3 linked regions of the Coturnix japonica genome follow. The protein of the gene in region 3 interacts with the protein of the main gene of each other region in a pairwise test. Links are inferred from orthologs where the notes say so. Each region holds a gene or a part of one and is shown on either strand. Other genes may lie near its edges.

Region 1 (6,062 bases), on a different chromosome or scaffold from region 3:
AGTACCTGTATTCAAAGATCTGATTTTACACTAAGAAATTCAGTAGTCATTTCCTAACGAGTTCATCTATTTTCAAGCAGACACAGAAAAGAAAATATTGGCCTTTGATTTCCAAGCAGTTTGTGTTCCTCTTCCATCGCTTGTCTGCATAAACTCTAACGAGAGTGACTTGAGATCAAAAACTCACTCCTGAAGCCTTCTGACTGCTTGTCATACGGTGCATCAATAATACATCAGAAAGGAAACTATACATCCAAAGTGGAAAAGCTGTTTTTCTAGCAATTATGTGTATTAAATTAGCAGTGAACATTCATTTCAAACGTACCTACTGTCAGGTATCCACTGAAAATACCTCCAGTGGTATCATTCCTTCCTGCCTTCCCCTCCCATTAGACAGAAATAGTGCAGCTGACAATTGTTAGGCATAAGCTTGGTCAGAGGTTTGAATACAATCAGACTGACATCACAATTACTACAAAGCAGAGTTTGAAGCTGTAGTAACTAAGCAATGTAACACAGGAACCCGGCAGTGGTGCCTTTCAAAGTAAAATGGACTCTTCCTGTTGATTTCAATTAATTCACATAGCTCAAAAAAAGTTGCATCCAGAAAGGAACTGAGTCACTGCATCATTTACTGCTGAAATAACCAGCTTTGATGAAGGTAGCAACAAACACAGAATGCAAAATACTGCATTAGAACCTCAGCTTTCTGAAGCAAACAAACAAAAGCCTGAAGCTGGAATGAAACCTCTGGTAACAAGATGGGCTTTGAGACGAACAGTTGTTACACCGTATCTACCCTCTCCACCTTTTCTTCAACCAACATCTTTTCTAAAATGTGTCTGGACAAACCACAGATGTGAGAAGAGGAGAGAACTGGGCACAGTGCTCAGCTCCAGGTGAGTGCTCTGCCTGTGAGGCTGCCTTAAGGAAGGAAATGAACGAGAGAGCGGCAGGAACTACTTCTCTATGTCTTAAAACATGGAGTAAGGCTGTTTTTAGAGGCCACTTATTAGATCTGCACAGGGCATGCTGGCATTTGGTCCTCTGCTTCAGACTGAGGTAAGGAACTGATCAGTCAGTGCTGCTGGAACTGAGATCACGTTCCATGCAGAACTACAAAGCCCATGAAAACACATTGAAAACATCTAAGGACATCTTAGGTGTCTCACATATAAGACAGACAAAAATACATCACAGGAGCAAAGGTTGGGAGTTTTATCATTGTTGCCATTTAAAAACCAACATGTGCACCAAACATTTCTCCTCTTTGAACAGATACCACTGTCTCCTAACCAAACTTAACCATAAACTTCAGAGCCTAACTGTACATAGCAGCCTTCTCTTTGAACATCAGTACGTGTTTCAAGAGACTGTAAAAGGACAAAGAGTATTTTTCTTTACAACAAACAAATCATCCAACTCCAGGTTAGAAAGCAGCCAATATAGACTAAAATTCCTCAGCAAATCCAAACAGATCTGATCATGAGGCATACCTATAAACTAATGTGAAAGATGCCAACCAACATGATTTTTCATTGACAGATCAAACCAACTTTATTTTCAGTTTTGTTATATGAATAAACTGAAGATCCCAGCTTTATTGAGACTTCCGACATTCTGTTCCATCAACATTTTTATGAGGAAACTTCCTTTTAATAGGAACTTTAAGAGGAAACTTAAAGAGGAAACTGGATAGAAACCACATAACCCCAGTCCCAAACTGTTTGTACCCTGAGCAATGCCGCTAGTAGTTCAGCATCAAACCTGCAGTTTATGTCCTGTAAAGGCCCTCATACCTCTGCATAACAGCTTAGACTGCAAGTATAAACCTGCACCTAACACCATGGTTAGAGGTACTACACATGGAGCAAAAGTCAACGATGAAGGCAGAAATCACTCCGAAAATGTATACATGTAATGAACAGAAGTGCAAAGAAATCAGGTGCAGAGAATCAGTTACCATAGGAAACGTTCAGGAAAGAAACCAACATGTAGAGTGGATCACAAACTGCATACGATAACACCTTCGTGAAGCTGGAAAAGGCACACAGCTCCCAGATGCAGCATTGGAAGTGCTGGCACTAAGGCAACTTGATGGAAGTGCAGCACAAATGCTGGAGAGGTGCAACAGAAAAAGGTCATCTGTTCTGGAACTCGGATCAAGGAAAAGAAAATGATCTGGATTTATACCCCAAAAATAAAGGAGCAAACAAAATGTGCTAGTAGTCTTCACATAAAAATGCTGCAAAGGAAAAAGGAATTCTGTCCTTTAGAGTCAGAGTAAGAACTGCAGCAAAAGGGATTTAGGAGGCATCTGAAAAAGGATAGTTAAGGGCTAGACTAGACGAGGAATGAGTGGCATCCCTAGTTAAGGCTTTAGGAACAGGTCAGACGAACATCAGTCAAGGCTGTTTTCCTAATGGCGTACCACGCCTCGAGGCAGGATAATGGAGACTAGGTATTAGTTTTAAGGTCACTGTTGGCTTTTTAGATCAACAGCTTCCACATCTACGTGACATCAACCAACAAATGTAGTGGTTGAGGTGAGCAGATACTGCTCTGAAAGCAGGTGAGCACTGCAGGTGTTAACCCACTGGTCATTCCCAGGACTGAGAACAGAACAGTGCAGTCTGTCCCTCCTGATACAACGCTGCTGCAGGGAGCTGGCAGTCCTGCCTGATATTCTGGTAGATCGCTGAACTCAAAGTAGAACTGAAACAAAAGCTGGACTTAGCCACGTTCTGTTTGAAAGTTACACCAACACCCACAAAATCTGTTTCTGTGGTCTAAAGTAAATCTAAGGAGTCCATCAGTTAACCTCAGCCATTTCTGATAAATCAGATGTTAGCGCAAGTGTTGTCACAGGGAACAGCATGAGCAAGAACACACACAGCACTCCCACTTCAGACTGCTCTTTTCACTAAATCTTCACCATGCCGAAGAGACATTTAAAATCCTCCCACACTCATAGAATCGTAGAATGGCCTGGGTTGAAAAGGACCACAATGATCACCGAGTTTCAACCCCCTGCTGTGTGCAGGGTCACCAACCAGCAGCCCAGGCTGCCCAGAGCCACATCCAGCCCGGCCTTGAGTGCCTGCAGGAATGGGACACCCACAGCCCCCTTGGGCAACCTGTTCCAGTGTGTCATCAGTACAAATTCCGTTTCAGGCACACGCTTAACTTCTGAATGGATGGGTGTCAGCCTTTGTTAAACGCTAACGACTGAGGTAAAGGATTATGTATGGAGGCTCTGGAAACAGGAGAGGAAGCTGTTCCCAACCACTCCGTCGGATTCCGGGCTTAACTTACACCAAAAAAAAAAAAGCGTGTAAGAGATTTATTAAGTGAAACGCGCACATCCCTGCAGTTCGATCAGTGCACATCGCTGAACGAAGGCAGCACAGCGCATCGCTGCGACGGAGCGGTTTCAAGGTTAGAGGATTCAATTCACCCCGAGCGACGGCTCGCAACCGGAGCGCGCCTCGCACGGCTCCCACAGCCCCACAGGCCGGGACACGCGGAGCTCCGGCCCGGCCCAGCGACGGGCCCCGCCGGCAGCACACGGCGGTAACGGCTCCGCTTTTGTTCCGCTCGGGGCCGACGCGGCGCTACGAGCGGGCGGACGAGCTGCGGCCCCGGTACGGCGGCCCGTGACCGCGAGCTCGTACCGACAAACGCCCGCAGCCGCCGCACCGTCACCTCCTCCGGGCCGGGCCCGCACCCGCGCGAGGCCGAGGATCCGAAGCGCTCGGCGGGGCCCGGCGGGACGCACCGCCCGGCTCCCGGCTGCGGACGCCCTCCCCGCCGGCCCGGCCCCGCCCTGCGCCTCCCGCAAGGCCTGGCCCAGCCCGCGCCGCCCCGGGGCACCTCATGGCTCCCAGCGCCGCTCCCTGAAGAAGCGAGAGCCCGGCCGGAGCCCAGCGCCGTCCCGTCCCGTCCCGTCCCGTCCCGCTGGGCGGGGCCGCACCGCGGCACTCACTCACTCACTCCCCGCCGCACTCACTCCCTCCCTCACTCATTCACTCACCCCCGCCCGCCCGACCCGCCCGCCGCCAACCTCTCGCGGGGAGGTCCGGAGCGCAGGTGAGCCGCACTGCGCCTGCGCCGCTCCTCAGGTCGGCCGCGGCCTCCATCCGGGTACCGCGCGGCCCCGGCAGGGCGGGGGGGTTTCATTGTGCGCGCGGCTGCCGCGCTCAGTCGCTCTAAGATGGCCGCCGCCGCCGCCGCCGCCTCGTCTCCTGCCGCCGCGGGGGCTCCCGGGGCGCCCAACGCTTCGGCGGCCGCGGCGCCGCCTCCCACCGAGAGCAAGAAGATCAGCGACCTGCGGGTCATCGACCTCAAGTCGGAGCTGAAGCGGCGCAACCTGGACGTCACCGGCGTGAAGACCGTGCTCATCTCCCGGCTCAAGCAGGTGAGAGCTCCGCGCGGGCCCGGCTGAGCGGCGCGGCCCGGGATCGGGATCGGGGGCAGCGCCGTGAGGGGGGCGGGGCCCTGTCGGTGTCGGTCCCGGTGTCGGTCCCGGTGAGGGGGGCGGGCCCGCTCCTCGTGCCGCTGCTGCCGTAGGGCTGAGGGTCGCCCGGCCCGGCCCGGCCCTGCCCGTGCTGCGGCGGCACGCCCTGCCCGGCCGCGGGGAGTGGAGGCGTCAGGCGGGGCTCGGCCCGCGGCCTTGAGGCCCTGCCGGGACCCGGGGCGCTGCAGCTCGCTGCCTGCTGCCCGCTCTGCCCCTTGGTGTCATTGCGGCGTAGCGATCCCTGAGGGAAACGTACCGCTGCTCGCTAAGTTGTCCTTCGGAATGTCACGAGAACGGCTTCAACAAACCGCTGTCGCTATCGTCAGGCTTTCCTCCCTCTCCCCCAGCTTTCGGTGGGAGGTTTAACCTGAAGTGTTTCATAAGATATTGTGTAGTTGAAAATCTAATAACTTGGCTCGTCAACGTCCTGAAGTGACAACTTATTGCTTCCAATTGAACTCCACTAAAAACTGTCGTTCTGTGTCCCGTTCAGGCTATTGAAGAGGAGGGAGGTGATCCGGATAACATTGAAATAACTGTCTCGGCTGACACACCCACCAAGAAGCCAGCTAAAGGCAAAGGTGAACGAATACCTGTTGATACACATTATAGACTGAAACACGTTTTTGTTGCATGCATCACCTTAAGAAAGAAGTAATGAGCTGTGCCCCCGGTTGTGCCTGTCCTTTACTGTTTGTGAGTTCTGTTCATAAAGCACTAAGTCTTCCGTACTGGCTTCCAGTCATGCTGTTTCTCTCATCATCTCTATTCCCCCCATCACCACCTGTTGTACCGGCTTGCTTCCCTTTCCTGCAGCATGCTCTGTCTGTCTCCCTGTGTCACATATCTGCTTATCACTGAGGGTGTGGAATGCATTAGGCCTTGCAAAGTACCCATGTGCTGGGTATATATGGGATGTGTTGGTCAGGTGATGTGTCATAAGGTGGTGGCTGTACAGTCTTTGGGTCCTGGAGGCTTGTGCCATGCTCAGGAACGTTGTAGACGTTCTGTGAGATTTCTTGGGATGTGCCATATAATGGGATCCTGAGCATGGAGTGTTCATGGTGGGTGTCAGTGTAGTGGCTGAGAGCCCATCCCATGGCAAGGGCTGAGCTGGCAGGTTACTCAGCTGTTAGAAGGTACCTGGCCCACGTTAGTGGTGAGTGTGGAGCAGTATGTGGTAAGGGTCAGAGCCTGGAGAGTTCTGTCTGCTGTGATTATCAACACGATTGTTGCTGAAGAGAAGGTTTATAATTGAGAGATTCCTCAATATAATCAGAATGCACAGTGTGATTTTAAAATGTCATCTTAAGGGACTTTTGTACTTTTGTTGTGAAAAATAATTATCTAGATTAGAAGCTGATATATTGGGCAGAGATTTTGTTGGCACTGTTTATTTACACGTAACTATTTGTATTTGTGAGCTTGAGTTTTGGGGGAGAGTCTCTTGTTTTCTGGTTCTGGGGTTGTCTGTAACCTGTCAAGTAATACTGGGGAAGGAAGTGTCTGTTTTACACATAGTGTTCCTCGTTGAATATATATGCTA
Region 2 (6,011 bases), on a different chromosome or scaffold from region 3:
CGGGGATGGCTGCGTTCCCTGCAGCCCCCATCGCAAGACCCGCACGGGGTTTGGGTGGAAAAACCGGCTTTTTGGCACTGCATGGGGTAAGAAAAGAATCCCCTCCTGTGGAGCCGGGGAGATGAGCCTGGGCTCAGCCGGGGTGATGGATTTACGGCAGAGGGAGAAGGGAAGGAGACGAGCCGCCGTCGCTGCGGATGTTTGTTATTTCTGCCTTTTATTCCGCAGCGGGAGCGCATCGCCACCTGCAGCCCGGCTGGATGCGGCTCTTCAAGCTCTGCCTACGGGGTTATTCCGCACCCTGCTCCAACCTCAGGCTCCTCCGATAGGAAAGGGAGAACGCCCGGCCCCACCTGGGATGGATGGAGCTTCGTACAGCTCGCATAATGCAGAGGGAGGAGAGGAAGGCAGCGCAGCGCCCTCAGGGCTGCAGGGATGGAATGAACCGGGACAAACGAGCTTTTTCAAAGGGTTTTATTACATCCTGTGCCGTACCCCGACCCAAACCCTGCTGCGGAATCAAGCGGAGCTCTGCCACGGCGCCATGATCACATTCTGGTGTGACACAATCACAAGTGGCCAAAGCTCAGCCCTGGGGTAGTGCTGGCAGGAGGGGATGATGGAAACGCATGTGTTCATCATTTATCACAACAGCAGAAGCTCTCCTGACCCCCAGCTCCCACCCCGCAGGTCTCCTCATGTCTCATAACAGAAGGGGTATTTAATCACCAGGGTATCACAGAAACAAGCTGATTTTGTCCCCAGGAGCACCACTCCAGCCCTGAGCACCTGCAATCATTTCCAATCATTCCTCAGCTCCCTCCCCCTTCCCCAGTCCAAGATTCCACCCCCAGCCATCCAACACCCAGCAGCAAGAAGGGCAGGACGCAGGCGGACCCTCAGAGAGAGGGAGCTCTCCATAAAACACCCCCTTGAGATGCAACGCTTTAACTATTGTACAAGGGAACCACCCTGCTGATGGCCTGTCTGCAGATGGGGCACCTTTTGGGCTCTGGGAGGGCTCGGTAGCACTCAGTGCAGGAGCAGACGTGGCCACACTCCAGGAAGACACAGGATTTGGCGTTGCTCAGGCAGATGACACAGGCATTTTTCAGTGTCTCTCCACCCTCAGTGCTCACTTCACGCATCAGCCGCTCCTGAGCTTGCCTGAATTCCTGTTGCATCTGTTTGAGGTGCTGCCTCTCCCGGTGGTAACGATACTGTTTCCTTAAGAGGAAAAAGAGAACAGCACACGTAGCAAAACCAAAAAGGATGGTCAGGATCTTCCAAAGCTTGGCGTTCGATTCCTGTTTCCTCAGCAAAGCATCGAAATCGGAGCTGGTCAGGTAGTAACGCAGACCTTGCTTGGGTGGCTGCAGCTTGATGGTGTTGTTGTCCAGCACCAGCTCTCCGACACCAGTCAGTGCAGCTCCCACCTTCAGCATCTGCTCTGTTTCCTGAATGCCTTTGGGGCGCTCCCCGCTGATGTAGTGGCCGATGACATCGGGGAAGGATTGCACTGAGGGATGGAACTTCTCATGCACTGTCTCTAGGCTGAGCTCAGCAGCCTCCAGTGGTTTCATCACCCTCACGGCAACCCCGGTGCTGTCTTCCAATGGGGCCAAGTCGAAAGCTGTGGTGTTGGTTCTCTGGTGGATGATCTTCTCATAGTCATTCCTGGGGATAAAGAAAGCATTAGTGCTTTCACGCTGGCAATCCAGGCTGGGTTGGGTGATCCAACCCCATGGCATGGGTTGATAATCTTTAAGGTAGCCTCCAAGCTGATATAATCTTGAGTTTGATAATCTTTAAGGTTCCCTCCAACCTAAGCCAGGTAGCAGGGAAACACCACAGCTTTCAACACAGCAACATTTATCACTCTGCCTGTGCCCCCCATGCAAAACCTGCTGCTGTCACAAGGCAAAGAGCTCAGGGGCAGCTAAATCCTCATCACCTCCACAGCCACGATGACTCCACAATACCATCAAGCTTCCCATTCTCTGCTTTATTAGGCTGCTCAGTGCAGTGCAGGGATGCTCCATTTGGCTGCTTGGGGTGGCCTCCAGCTGCCATATGTGTGGGGTGGAGGGTACAACCCTGAACTTCCAGAGCTCAAGGAGTGTTGAGACATTGCTCTAAGGCTTAAGGTTCTGATTTCAGGTCCTTATGGGTCCCTTCCAACTTGGGATGTCCTATGGTTCTATATAGGTACGTACCAGAGGTGGGTCGTTCGGTTCCATACCATCTTGTGCTCCTGCAGTGTCAGCCTCTGCACGACGCCCTTGCAGTTGTCCACAAACTGGCTGCTCAGGGTGTCCCTGACAGAACGTACCACACCTGGAACACGTGGAGTGGTTGAGTTGTGGGTCAAGTCTCTTTTATTGTCATGGGGGAAGATTAGCTCAAATTCCAGCCCCAAAGTGCTTTATTTTTTAAGGGGAGGGAGGTACAGGCCCAGAACTCAGCCCCACAGGGCTCTGGGATACGTTTAACTCAAGTTCTAGTCTTTCACTCCCATGATTTTGGATGGGGACAGGTTAAATCCCAGCCCAAATGTGTCTTGTGGAGGTGGTGGAGGTCTTAGCTCAAATCTCAGCCCCCACTGCACGTTTTTGGGGGAGAGAAATAGCCCAAATACCACCTTCACGGGGCGTTTTTTTGGTGGGGAAGTAGCTCAAATGCCGGCCTCGTTGGGGCATTTTGGGGACCAGATTAACTCTGGGCCTCTGGGGTGGGTTTAGCCTAAATTCCATAATCCCATCCCCAAGGATTCTGGAAGGGGACAGGCTAAATTCCAGCCCTGTAGTACCTTTATGAAGGGATCAATCCCTACACGACCTTTGGGGTACATTCAGCCCAAACCCCAGCCTTTCACCCCATAGTTTTGCAGGAATCAGGCTATATTTAAGCTCCATAGGGATGCCAGCCCAAACCCCAACCTGCATTGCATACGGAAGGAACTAACCCTATCCCATACCCCAGAGCCTTCTATTAGGGCTGGAGTTTTCCCCCTTTCATTTGGAAGGAATCACAGCCCATCCCCTTCCCTGGGTGTGTGTCTGTGAAGGAGGAGCCTGCACTACAGGGCAGTGCTACCCCATTTCTGGTGCAAGAAAGCAGATTTTAGGGCAAAACCCTTTGAGCCAAAGGGGAGATGTGGAAAGAGACCCAGCCTTTAGCTATACCAATACCTTCAATGACAGCATAAGGCACACAGCGGCCTGGTGCCTCCAGCAGCACGGCCCGCAGCTCCCCGTCCAACCGCAGCCTCCGGGCTCCCTATGGGACATAAGGAGCCGAGGATCAACCACTAGGCCCAGGCTCAGGACTAGGCCGCGGCCTAGGCCCGAAGCAGCCATTACGGCCTTTAGCAGCCCGCATCCCGGTCCAGGAGCACCCGTACCCACCTGTAGGCCTCGGGAGAGCCGGGTCTGCTGCCGGTACACCGAGTAAAGCAGCGCTGTCAGCCCCGTACCGGCCGCCAACAGCGCGGCCTGCAAGGCCGAAGGCCGCCCGCTTCCTTCCATCTCCTCCATTACCGAGGCAACCGAGCGGCGCTGAGTGATGACGTCAAGCGAGCGGCGCTCTGGAAGCAACTCCGTTACCATAGAGTGTGCGGTCCTCCGAGTTATGGCTGTAAGGTTTCCTGGTAGAGCCCCCCAATACAGCCCCGCCAAACCCTATAGGGCCTTTGGGGTGGGTATAATTCAAATCCCAACCTTTTACCGCAAGATTTTAGGGCAGGATAGCCCATATCCCACACCCATTGGGCCTTTGGGGTGGATTTAGCCTAAATCCCATACTCTCACCCCAAGGATTTTGGAGGTGGATAAGCTAAATCCCAGCCCTATAGGACCTTTTGTGTGGGGTTGGCCTATATCTCAGCCTTAAAGGGCTTTCAGAGGATGTTTAACCCAAATCCCAGTCTTTCACCCCAGGATGCTGGTTATATCTCAGATATAACCCTGCATAGGTTTATTTATAGGGGTGTTAGCCCAAATCTTGGCCCCATAGTGCTTTCGGGGGCCAGTTATCTCAAACCACAGTCCCATAGAGCTCTATAGAGCCCACAGAGTGTGGGGGCAGCCCCCAAAGCTCAGAGGGAATCAGGACCACAGCCCACCCCCTCCTTGGCTGCTGTATGTGGGGGGAGCTCACACAAACCCCATCCCACTGGTGCATCCCCTTCCTCAGTCTATGGGGCAGCAGTGCCCCTTGTTCCCCCTCCCACCACCCCACTTATTCAGCTCCTTCCACCGTGCCCCCCTCATTGCTGCTCCTGTCAAGGCAGATAGAGCAGGAACTGGGTGAAAAAAAAAACATTTTTGTGTAAAACTCCACTGATTTAGGTTCTCTGGGCTGTATTTTCCCCCCAGTTTCAGGCCTGGGATCCACATTGCAGCCTCCCCCCCCAACCCAAAGCGTGGGCCTGCTCTATTTAAACCCCACCATTGCCATGGCAACATGAGCATCACACCACGTAGAATGGCATGGAAGGTGCAGAAACCCCTCTCCCCTCCCTCCCCCCCCCACTGTGGGGTGGATATTTTACCCCGAGAAGTGCAAAAAATGGGTAAATACAGAACAGAAAAGCAACAAACCATCGCGAGTCTTCCAGGCTGGCGAGAGACAGGTGCTGTCACAGGCAAAAAACACACATTGGGTTTATTTCCAGGAGAGGGATGGGGGGATCCAGCTGCATCCCCCCCTTTAAGAGCAAAGGGACGTAGCCCTATAGTCCAGCTGTGTCCCGAGTGCACCCGGTATGGCCAAAGCAGTGGATGAATGCTCAGCATATGGGGGCCCTTGGGCCACGCAAGCTGCACCCCCGCATCTCACTGGCCAAAGAGACCACGGTGGGACCCCCGTCCCCCCACGTGCCCCCCGTCTCCTCCTCGTCCTCCTCCAGGATGGAGCTGAGCCGTGGGGCGCAGCGGGCGCGTTCAGCCGGCGGGCGGTAGGGACACTTGGCATTGAGCAGCCTACGAAGGGGCACCAAGGGGACGATGGCTTCACCCAGGAGCTGCTGCTGGAGGCGCCGGCCGTCGTTCTGCCTTTTGAGCCTCTTGAATTCATCGAAGGCTGAAGCGGAGGTCTGGAAGAGGAGCAGGGCCATGGCGCGCGCGGTGGCGGCTTTGGGGACGAGGACGGCGTGACAGCGTAGCACCACGGCTTTGTTCTTCACCTGGTGCCGGTAAACCCAAGCAAACACCTTGGGGTGCCGGCGGTCAGCTGTGCAGTAGGTGATGCGGTGCAGCAGGTAAGCGTGGCCTGACCTCCGGGCACCCTTCTCACCCGGTGCCATACGGATGCCATGCGGCCCTAAGGTCAGCTTCATTTTGGCCCCACCGGCTCCCGCGTCGCTTTTGGCCCATATTTTGCCCACCGCCTCCTCCGTGCATCCCTCTCCTTTGGCGTGCAGCGTGACGGCGTTACCCAGGTAGCGCACGGTGTAGGTGGGATCCTCCTTGTTCAGCTCCACTTTCTGCCTCCGGCCTCCAAACACAGCACCCAACCTCTCCAAGGGGCATTCGGGCAATAAATCGGGGCAGGAGCGTATGAAACCAGCCAGCAATGAGGCATAGCCCAACCCTGGCCCCAAGCTTTTCCCTTTGCACTTACGCTCGTTTTCCACCAGCACGAACTTGCTGCGGCGCCAGGGCAGCATCACCTCGCTGCCGGATCCCGATCCTGACCCAAGGGGTCGGTCCCCGTATCCCGTTCCCAAGGGTCGGTCCCCAGCGGGATGCGTTGGGTGAGGATGCAACGCTGCTGCTGCTGCTGCTGCTGCTGCAGAACGGAGCGCTGCTCCACCTCCCCAAAGCGTGGAGAGGAGGGAGAAATGCATCGGCGCACACGGAGAGATGCTGCTGCGCTGCTGCTGCCGGAGGGAGATGAGGCTGCTCCGCTACGGGGAGAAAGAGCTGCCCCTGCGGAGTGCAGAGCCCAAAGAGCGATAACGACGTTTAGCCATGCAACCCCTGCTGATAATGGGTTTGGGGAGATCCCTT
Region 3 (6,192 bases):
TAACCCAAATCCCACAGCTGAGAAACTTTGCAGCTTTTTTCCTGCTCGATCCTGTGTATAAACAGAACGCTCACAGCCGAGTTCGGTAGGAATCTCCCACAAGTACTCGGAACAGTAACTCTTTTTCAGATCTGAGCACATTTTGCCAGAGAGATTTTCTTTTCAAGCTAATATGCAAATGAGCCGGGGGGAGGGGGGGCCGTACAAGCACATTTGACAATGACTTTAAACCAGCACTACAGAACTGTGATCGAGGCTGAAGAAGCGAGCCGTGCTGTCAGCAAATGTATTCTTTTGGCAATATTCTACCTCCTGCTTTGCAGGGTGTTTAAAAAGTAGGTCTGCAGATCTGCCTGGCTGCTTCTGACACTGGAATCATCTCTGCATCAACTTTGCTCTTCTCCACACCTTCTGCTGCCTTTCCTCCCCCAGCCTTACAGGAGCCGTATTTACATGATAAAAAGCAACATAATAACCTGAAATAATCTGTGTTTAGCTTGACATTGTAACAACCACTCCCAAGATGTTACAGTCCAGAAAGCAACACTCAAAATTTTGGGTAAACCTTATTATTTATTCATATATATATATATATATATAGGAGGTGTAACTTTTAAAGATTCAAGGCAATTTCCTCTTTTAAATGTCAAATCAAACAAACAAACAAAACTGCACAACAAAACCCACGCGAGCAAGACTGCTTTTTTATGTGCATAGCAAGTGTAGAACATGAGCTGACAGGGACTGCCCCAAAAGCCCATGCACCATTTCTATTAAGCCCAACCATGCTACTGAACTACTGGATTAACCAAAACAAAGGTAAGAGGAGAAAACTCAGCTGTGAGCCTCTACATGATGTACCTCAGGCACTAAAAAGAACACAAAGCCTAACAATAAATTACAAAGTCTACACTGTTTCCAGAACTTTTCCTTCTGCAGCCAAGTCCTATTCCAAAGGGTTTCTTTAACAAACTCAGAAGTCATCAGTCACCCAGTCACATTCTGCAATAATTCTGAGACACTGCAAAATGTATTTACTGAGTTTAAGTACAGTGCAAAGTTACTACAACGTTCCTCAAAGTCTGAGCTACTGTATTTGGGCTGGATAAGCAAAACTCGAGGCTAATGTGGCTTTCGCACAGTGTATTTGTAAATGTTTGTAAAGAAAGGGAACTCCAGGGAAAAGACTGAAAGTTGTGTTTCATCTCAGAAGACAACTGGGATTGAGGGAATTAAAGTTTGCTTTATTTCACACAGCTGAACTTACAGAAAATAATTAGCACGCATGTCTTGAGAGCTGGACTGCCAGTAACCTTGTGTGTAAACAAAAACGCAGCAGATAAAACTAGACAAGGTTTCCTGAGATTCTGATACTTAGAGGCTACACTTGAAGAACCCTATGGTTGGAATCCATGGATCCCACAAGAGACCATTTGCCTGACTTTCTCCAGAAAGCACTGCAGGACAGAACAGTGACTTTAAGGTGCACAGGGCTCTACTGCAATCATAAGGCCTTCAGAATCCACGAGGCTTTTGTGACTTCTGTAATTAAAGAGTACTGTCATTGCACTGCAGCCTGCACTGAAATACACCAGAAAGATCCACCCTATACCAACAAGGTATGTAAACCTGTCTCTGCAAACCAGACACCTGAAGCTTATGCTTTCTCACTCATTTTAACAAATATGAGAGGCACACAGGTGCCCCATGACCAGCCTGAGAGTTAGCAAGTTTTCCAACAACTCCAAAGAAACACGGCCAGCCCGCGTATTAGTGCCCCAGAGGATTTGGACTGGTGAAGGTCCTTCCCAGCAGACCAGCATGCTACAGAATTTTGTACTGTGCTATTTCCCACGTGGCTTTAAAGCAATCCCTCTGCCTTGGGAAGTGCAGTGCAACACTGCGAGTCCACACACCGTGCAAAACCGCTACAGGACGCTGGATGCCACAAGTACCTTTTAGCACTAGTAGATAGCTTAGCAGTAGTTTTGCTGGAGAGTTTGGTGTTCTTCTTCTGTTGGGTGGCAGAGGGTTTCCTTTCCTCCTGCTCCTCAGGTTCAGGTGCCGGGGGGTCCCTCTGGTCAGCATCTGAGCTGCCGCTGCTGGTACTGGGGCTCTCATCATCTGACCTCTGCCTGTCACTGGACATCGTGGGGAACTTGTGGGGAAGGAGGAGAAGAGGCAGTTACTACAGCACGCAGGTCACCCCTCGCCGTCCTGAGCTCTGAAGAACACTTTGGTTGTCGATAACTCTATTTCATGGAGAAACCCACCAGGATCCTCTTCTTTGTCTCATCCGCCAGGGCTGCAACTTGACAGCCACACCACAACATTTACACTTCGGAAAACACCGGCATTTCCCATTTTTAAACCCACTCGCATTTTTGTCATGCTTCAAACAATATGCCAATTGTCGGCTTGGTTCTGAGGCACAGACAGATTGAGCAGGGCACTTAGGAAACGCACATTAATAACTTATGACACATTGTAAATAACAGACCTCCCTGGGAATGTTTTTTAAGGAGTCACCGATACCCTGTAAATATTTACACTGGAACGGAGCGTTTTATTGGGTCCAAACGCCTGATCCCCCCTCAACCCCTCTCTCGGAGGAGCTCCATTGCCAATGAGACTCGGGCTGCTATCAGACCGAAGCATACACTTGCTCTGTGCATTTAAAGGGCTGGGCGGGGGGGGGGGGGGGGGGGGGGGAGGTGGGGGGGGGAGGGAGAACGCGGGTTGTTTGTTTTTAAAGGAAAACCCCCGCGGAACCCGCAGAAGATGCGTCGGGAGCAACTCGGGAAGCGGCAGCCCCACTGCCCGCCGGCAGATCCGCATTGGGCCCCCGCAGGGCCGCCGGGGGGGAGGCAGCCCGCAGCCGCCCGCACCTTCCGCGTCGCCCTCTCGCCCCCCCGCCCCGCTCCGACATGGTGGCGGCGGGGGGAGGGGGCTGCCCGGTGGCCGGGAGCCGCGGTGGGGCCGGGGGCGGCCGCGCTTTGTGGGGTGAGCCCGGCGCGGCGCGGCAGGCGGCGGCTCGGCTCGGCCGGCCCCGCTCCACTCGGCTCGGCCCCGCTCGGCGCCGCGCGTGTGTGTGCACCAAGTGAGGCGTGAACTCGGCCGGCCCCGCGCCCCCGGCCGCCGGCAGGCAGCGAGCGCCGAAAACAAGAACAAAGCTCCTCGGCGGCCCCCCCGCTCCTCCCCGCCTCCCCCCACCGCGCTCGCCCAGCCGCCGCCGCCGCCGCCGCCGCAGCCGCCTCGCCCGCCTCTCGCTTACCTTCGCCGGCGTCCTGTCCCGCTGCTGGGTCGGAGGGGCGGGATGGCGGGGGGCCGGGCCGGGCCCGCGGCGCCCGAGGAGGGGACGGAGACGGCCGGGGGGCTCTACGGCGGCGGCGGCGGCTCTGTGGCCGGGCGGTGTGGAACATTGAGAGCCGGAGCAGGGGGGGACGGGGGGAGGCGCGGTGCGGCCCCGCGGCCGGCGGGTGGCGCTGGCGGGCCCCGCTCTGCGGCGCGGGCTCCCGCGGCGGGCCGGGGGGCCGGGGCGGGGGGCGGCGGGCGCGCGCCGCCGGGGGCGGGGGAGAAGGTCCGGGGTTGGGGAGAGGGGGGGGGAGACCGGCCGCCCCCGGCCGCCGCCGCTGTGCCGGGCTGCAGCCGACAGCGGGGGAGGGGACGGGAGAGCAGAGGGGGCGCTCGCTCCCGCCTGGCGGCCAGCAGAGCGCGCCCCCCTCCGGGCTGGGGTGCGCGCAGGCGCTCTCCCGCCGCGGCCGAGGGCGCGCGTGCTCCGGGCCGGGCAAGGACAAAGCGGCGGCGCGCGGGTGGACCTCGACGGCTGCTGTGCGCGGCGGGGCACGGCGCGATCCTGCACAGCTCCTGAGTGTGGGCACCGCCAGAATCATCAGCACTTCGGTGCCCTCCGCCGGCCGTCCCGGCTGCAGCTCCGCCGCCCGCGGGGTCTGACAGCGGTGTTACAGCCGCCTCGTGCCCCGCTCCTCGATCCACGCGTCCAAGTGATGGCCGGCACTGTGTGCGGTCATGGTGGTTTATTCCAAATTAGAAACACAATTAGGAGTTGCACCGTATGCATCTACGTGCCGAGTTCTGACTGTTATCACAGAGGGAAGGGGGTAGTCTGTATCAGTGGCTGTGTAGGATGGTGGTTGAATTTCTTCCCAGGCCCATCACAGCCGCACCTGAGGAGCTGTGGTCAGTGTGCAGTAAGAGCCATCCACCAATTAGAGTAATGTGAATATTCCAAAGTGATCCTGGAGCAATAAAACCCACCTGTAAAAGAAGCGTTAACTATTTGTGATAAGTACCTGTGCTGCAGATTACAGGGTCCAGCAGAGGGGAAATGAGCAATGCGGTTTGAGTTCTGTTATAGAAATGGACGCAAAACCGCTGTCCAGCAGCTGGGCTTCACCTCAGCACTGTGCACCTCGAGGGCTTTCCTTGCCAATAGTCCAAGGGCTTCAAGCCTCTCTGCTTAAGTTTAGCAGGATCGAGAGGCCACAGGTTGCGTTCTGTAGGAGCTGAACGGTGCGTCAGGGGGTTCTGTTCTCTGGGTAGCTGGAATTAGCTCAGCTGAACAGTATGCTGAAGGTTCCGTGGGTGAGCTGAGTGAAATGGTGGGGAGGAATACCGGAGGTTTGTTTGTTAAAGTGGGCTATAGAGAATTCCCAGATCACCACTACAAGCGATTTGCCCCTGAGGTATGCTGTAGAAAATTCTTTGCATAAACAGTATCTGGCATGATGAGCAATCTGGGCATAATTAGTAAAAGGGAAGTGTGGCAATATCAAAAATCTATCAGTCAGCAGTAAAACCATTTCTTTTCCCTATTGATGCTCAAAATGGGGCTGGCTGGCACTTTGAGGGTCAGGACTAAGTGTTTATTTTGTTTCTGGTGATAATCAATGCAGCTGTCAAAAAAGAAAAATAAATAAAGCATCTACAGAATGAATGTAAGTAGGCTGGTCAAGGGCTGCTGGCCACATCAGCTGTTACATGTTGTGGCTTCTGTGGCTTTTAGGAGAAAAAATGAAAATAAAGCCTGTTTAACAGAGGCTAATTGAAAGCCAGCCTGGATTTCATTATTTATTTTTTTCTCTCCAGTCTTTTGTACCTAATTAAAACTGTTCTACTACAGGAACTTATGGATACAACAGGTGTTTATCTGAATGAATATGCATTTGTTTGACATCAAGGCTCAAAGCATGATACTTTCCTCTTACAGGGCTGTATTCTCCTAGGGGGTTTGTTATCTTGTCAACTGTAGAAAAAGTAATGCAGTTGGAAGCAGAGAAAGTGCTGATTTCAATAGCTATAGGAATAAAGCTCCATCCCATGATCTCTGTGACTTTTTGTGCTCCTTGTGATTTTACACTGGTGTAATTTTAACCGATACATCTATCTGTTTTTGTTTTTCTGTCAGTTTATTGAGTACTTAAACTGTGAAAGTTCAACTAGTAGGGTGAAGTGCAGAGCCCTCCTGAGCTTTCCTAACCCTTCCTACTTTCAGACTTGTCTAGATGGTCCTGGGCACTTAGAAATGTGTGAAGCTTTCATTTTTTCTTCCCCTCAGATGCCCTTTAGTTTTTTTTTTTTTGTTTGTTTGTTTTTCCCCAGCACAAGCATTGGTGGTTCCTTAAGAAGCCCAGTATCGCTTAGATACGTCCTGATCCCTATTCTATCAGAGCACAGGTGTGAAGTTGCTGTCAGCGTGCAGAGGTTTAACATCTGCTTTGGGCTGTACAGGCATCTGAAAATATTTTACTGCATTTAGGAAGAATTCACATTTCAGTCTCCTCTATTGGATGCAAAATGCTGTGATAGCAAACAACTCAATGCCTGGCACCAGAACTAGGGTAAAGGCATTTTCCACTTCTCACAAGTAAACTCTGAGGGATGAGAAAATCATTGCTTGATCTCCTTGCCCCTACCATTTTAAGGGTGTACAGATGGTAAAATAAAGCCGGCATACATTTTTTGTGATTAAGAGCAGATCAATTGTAAATACTACTTAATGTTTACAGTCATATACTTCATCTTCTTTATCACAAAATCATTGTTTCCTGACAACAAATATATTTCCAACAAGCAATGCATCTTTCTATCCCATGCATGTTCCCATACCGAGCTGTGTTGTTAAAGCACATGTTGGAACTCTACTGTGGTGCTGCAGCTGAATGTTCACAG

The links.
Region 1: the proteins of UBE2E3 (region 3) and RNF111 interact in a two-hybrid assay, tested with the Homo sapiens proteins (2 studies listed by BioGRID and IntAct). The link is inferred for Coturnix japonica from reciprocal best matches to the Homo sapiens genes UBE2E3 and RNF111.
Region 2: the proteins of UBE2E3 (region 3) and MUL1 interact in a two-hybrid assay, tested with the Homo sapiens proteins (2 studies listed by BioGRID and IntAct). The link is inferred for Coturnix japonica from reciprocal best matches to the Homo sapiens genes UBE2E3 and MUL1.

Annotation. Positions count from the first base shown.
Region 1 is NC_029525.1:5,871,371-5,877,432, forward strand, and holds the start of RNF111 (E3 ubiquitin-protein ligase Arkadia), read right to left. Parts: upstream 3,991-6,062; 5' UTR 3,879-3,990; coding exon 3,874-3,878; intron 1-3,873. Other genes in the region: SLTM (SAFB-like transcription modulator), read left to right, coding at 4,214-4,417, 5,010-5,097. UniProt on the Homo sapiens protein: E3 ubiquitin-protein ligase. Required for mesoderm patterning during embryonic development. Acts as an enhancer of the transcriptional responses of the SMAD2/SMAD3 effectors, which are activated downstream of BMP.
Region 2 is NC_029536.1:4,255,489-4,261,499, forward strand, and holds MUL1 (mitochondrial ubiquitin ligase activator of NFKB 1), read right to left. Parts: upstream 3,583-6,011; 5' UTR 3,537-3,582; coding exon 3,408-3,536; intron 3,280-3,407; coding exon 3,192-3,279; intron 2,338-3,191; coding exon 2,217-2,337; intron 1,678-2,216; coding exon 948-1,677; 3' UTR 461-947; downstream 1-460. Other genes in the region: protein FAM43B, read right to left, coding at 4,790-5,668. UniProt on the Homo sapiens protein: Exhibits weak E3 ubiquitin-protein ligase activity. E3 ubiquitin ligases accept ubiquitin from an E2 ubiquitin-conjugating enzyme in the form of a thioester and then directly transfer the ubiquitin to targeted substrates.
Region 3 is NC_029522.1:12,887,992-12,894,183, forward strand, and holds the start of UBE2E3 (ubiquitin-conjugating enzyme E2 E3), read right to left. Parts: upstream 3,448-6,192; 5' UTR 3,275-3,447; intron 2,159-3,274; 5' UTR 2,150-2,158; coding exon 1,956-2,149; intron 1-1,955. UniProt on the Homo sapiens protein: Accepts ubiquitin from the E1 complex and catalyzes its covalent attachment to other proteins. In vitro catalyzes 'Lys-11'- and 'Lys-48'-, as well as 'Lys-63'-linked polyubiquitination.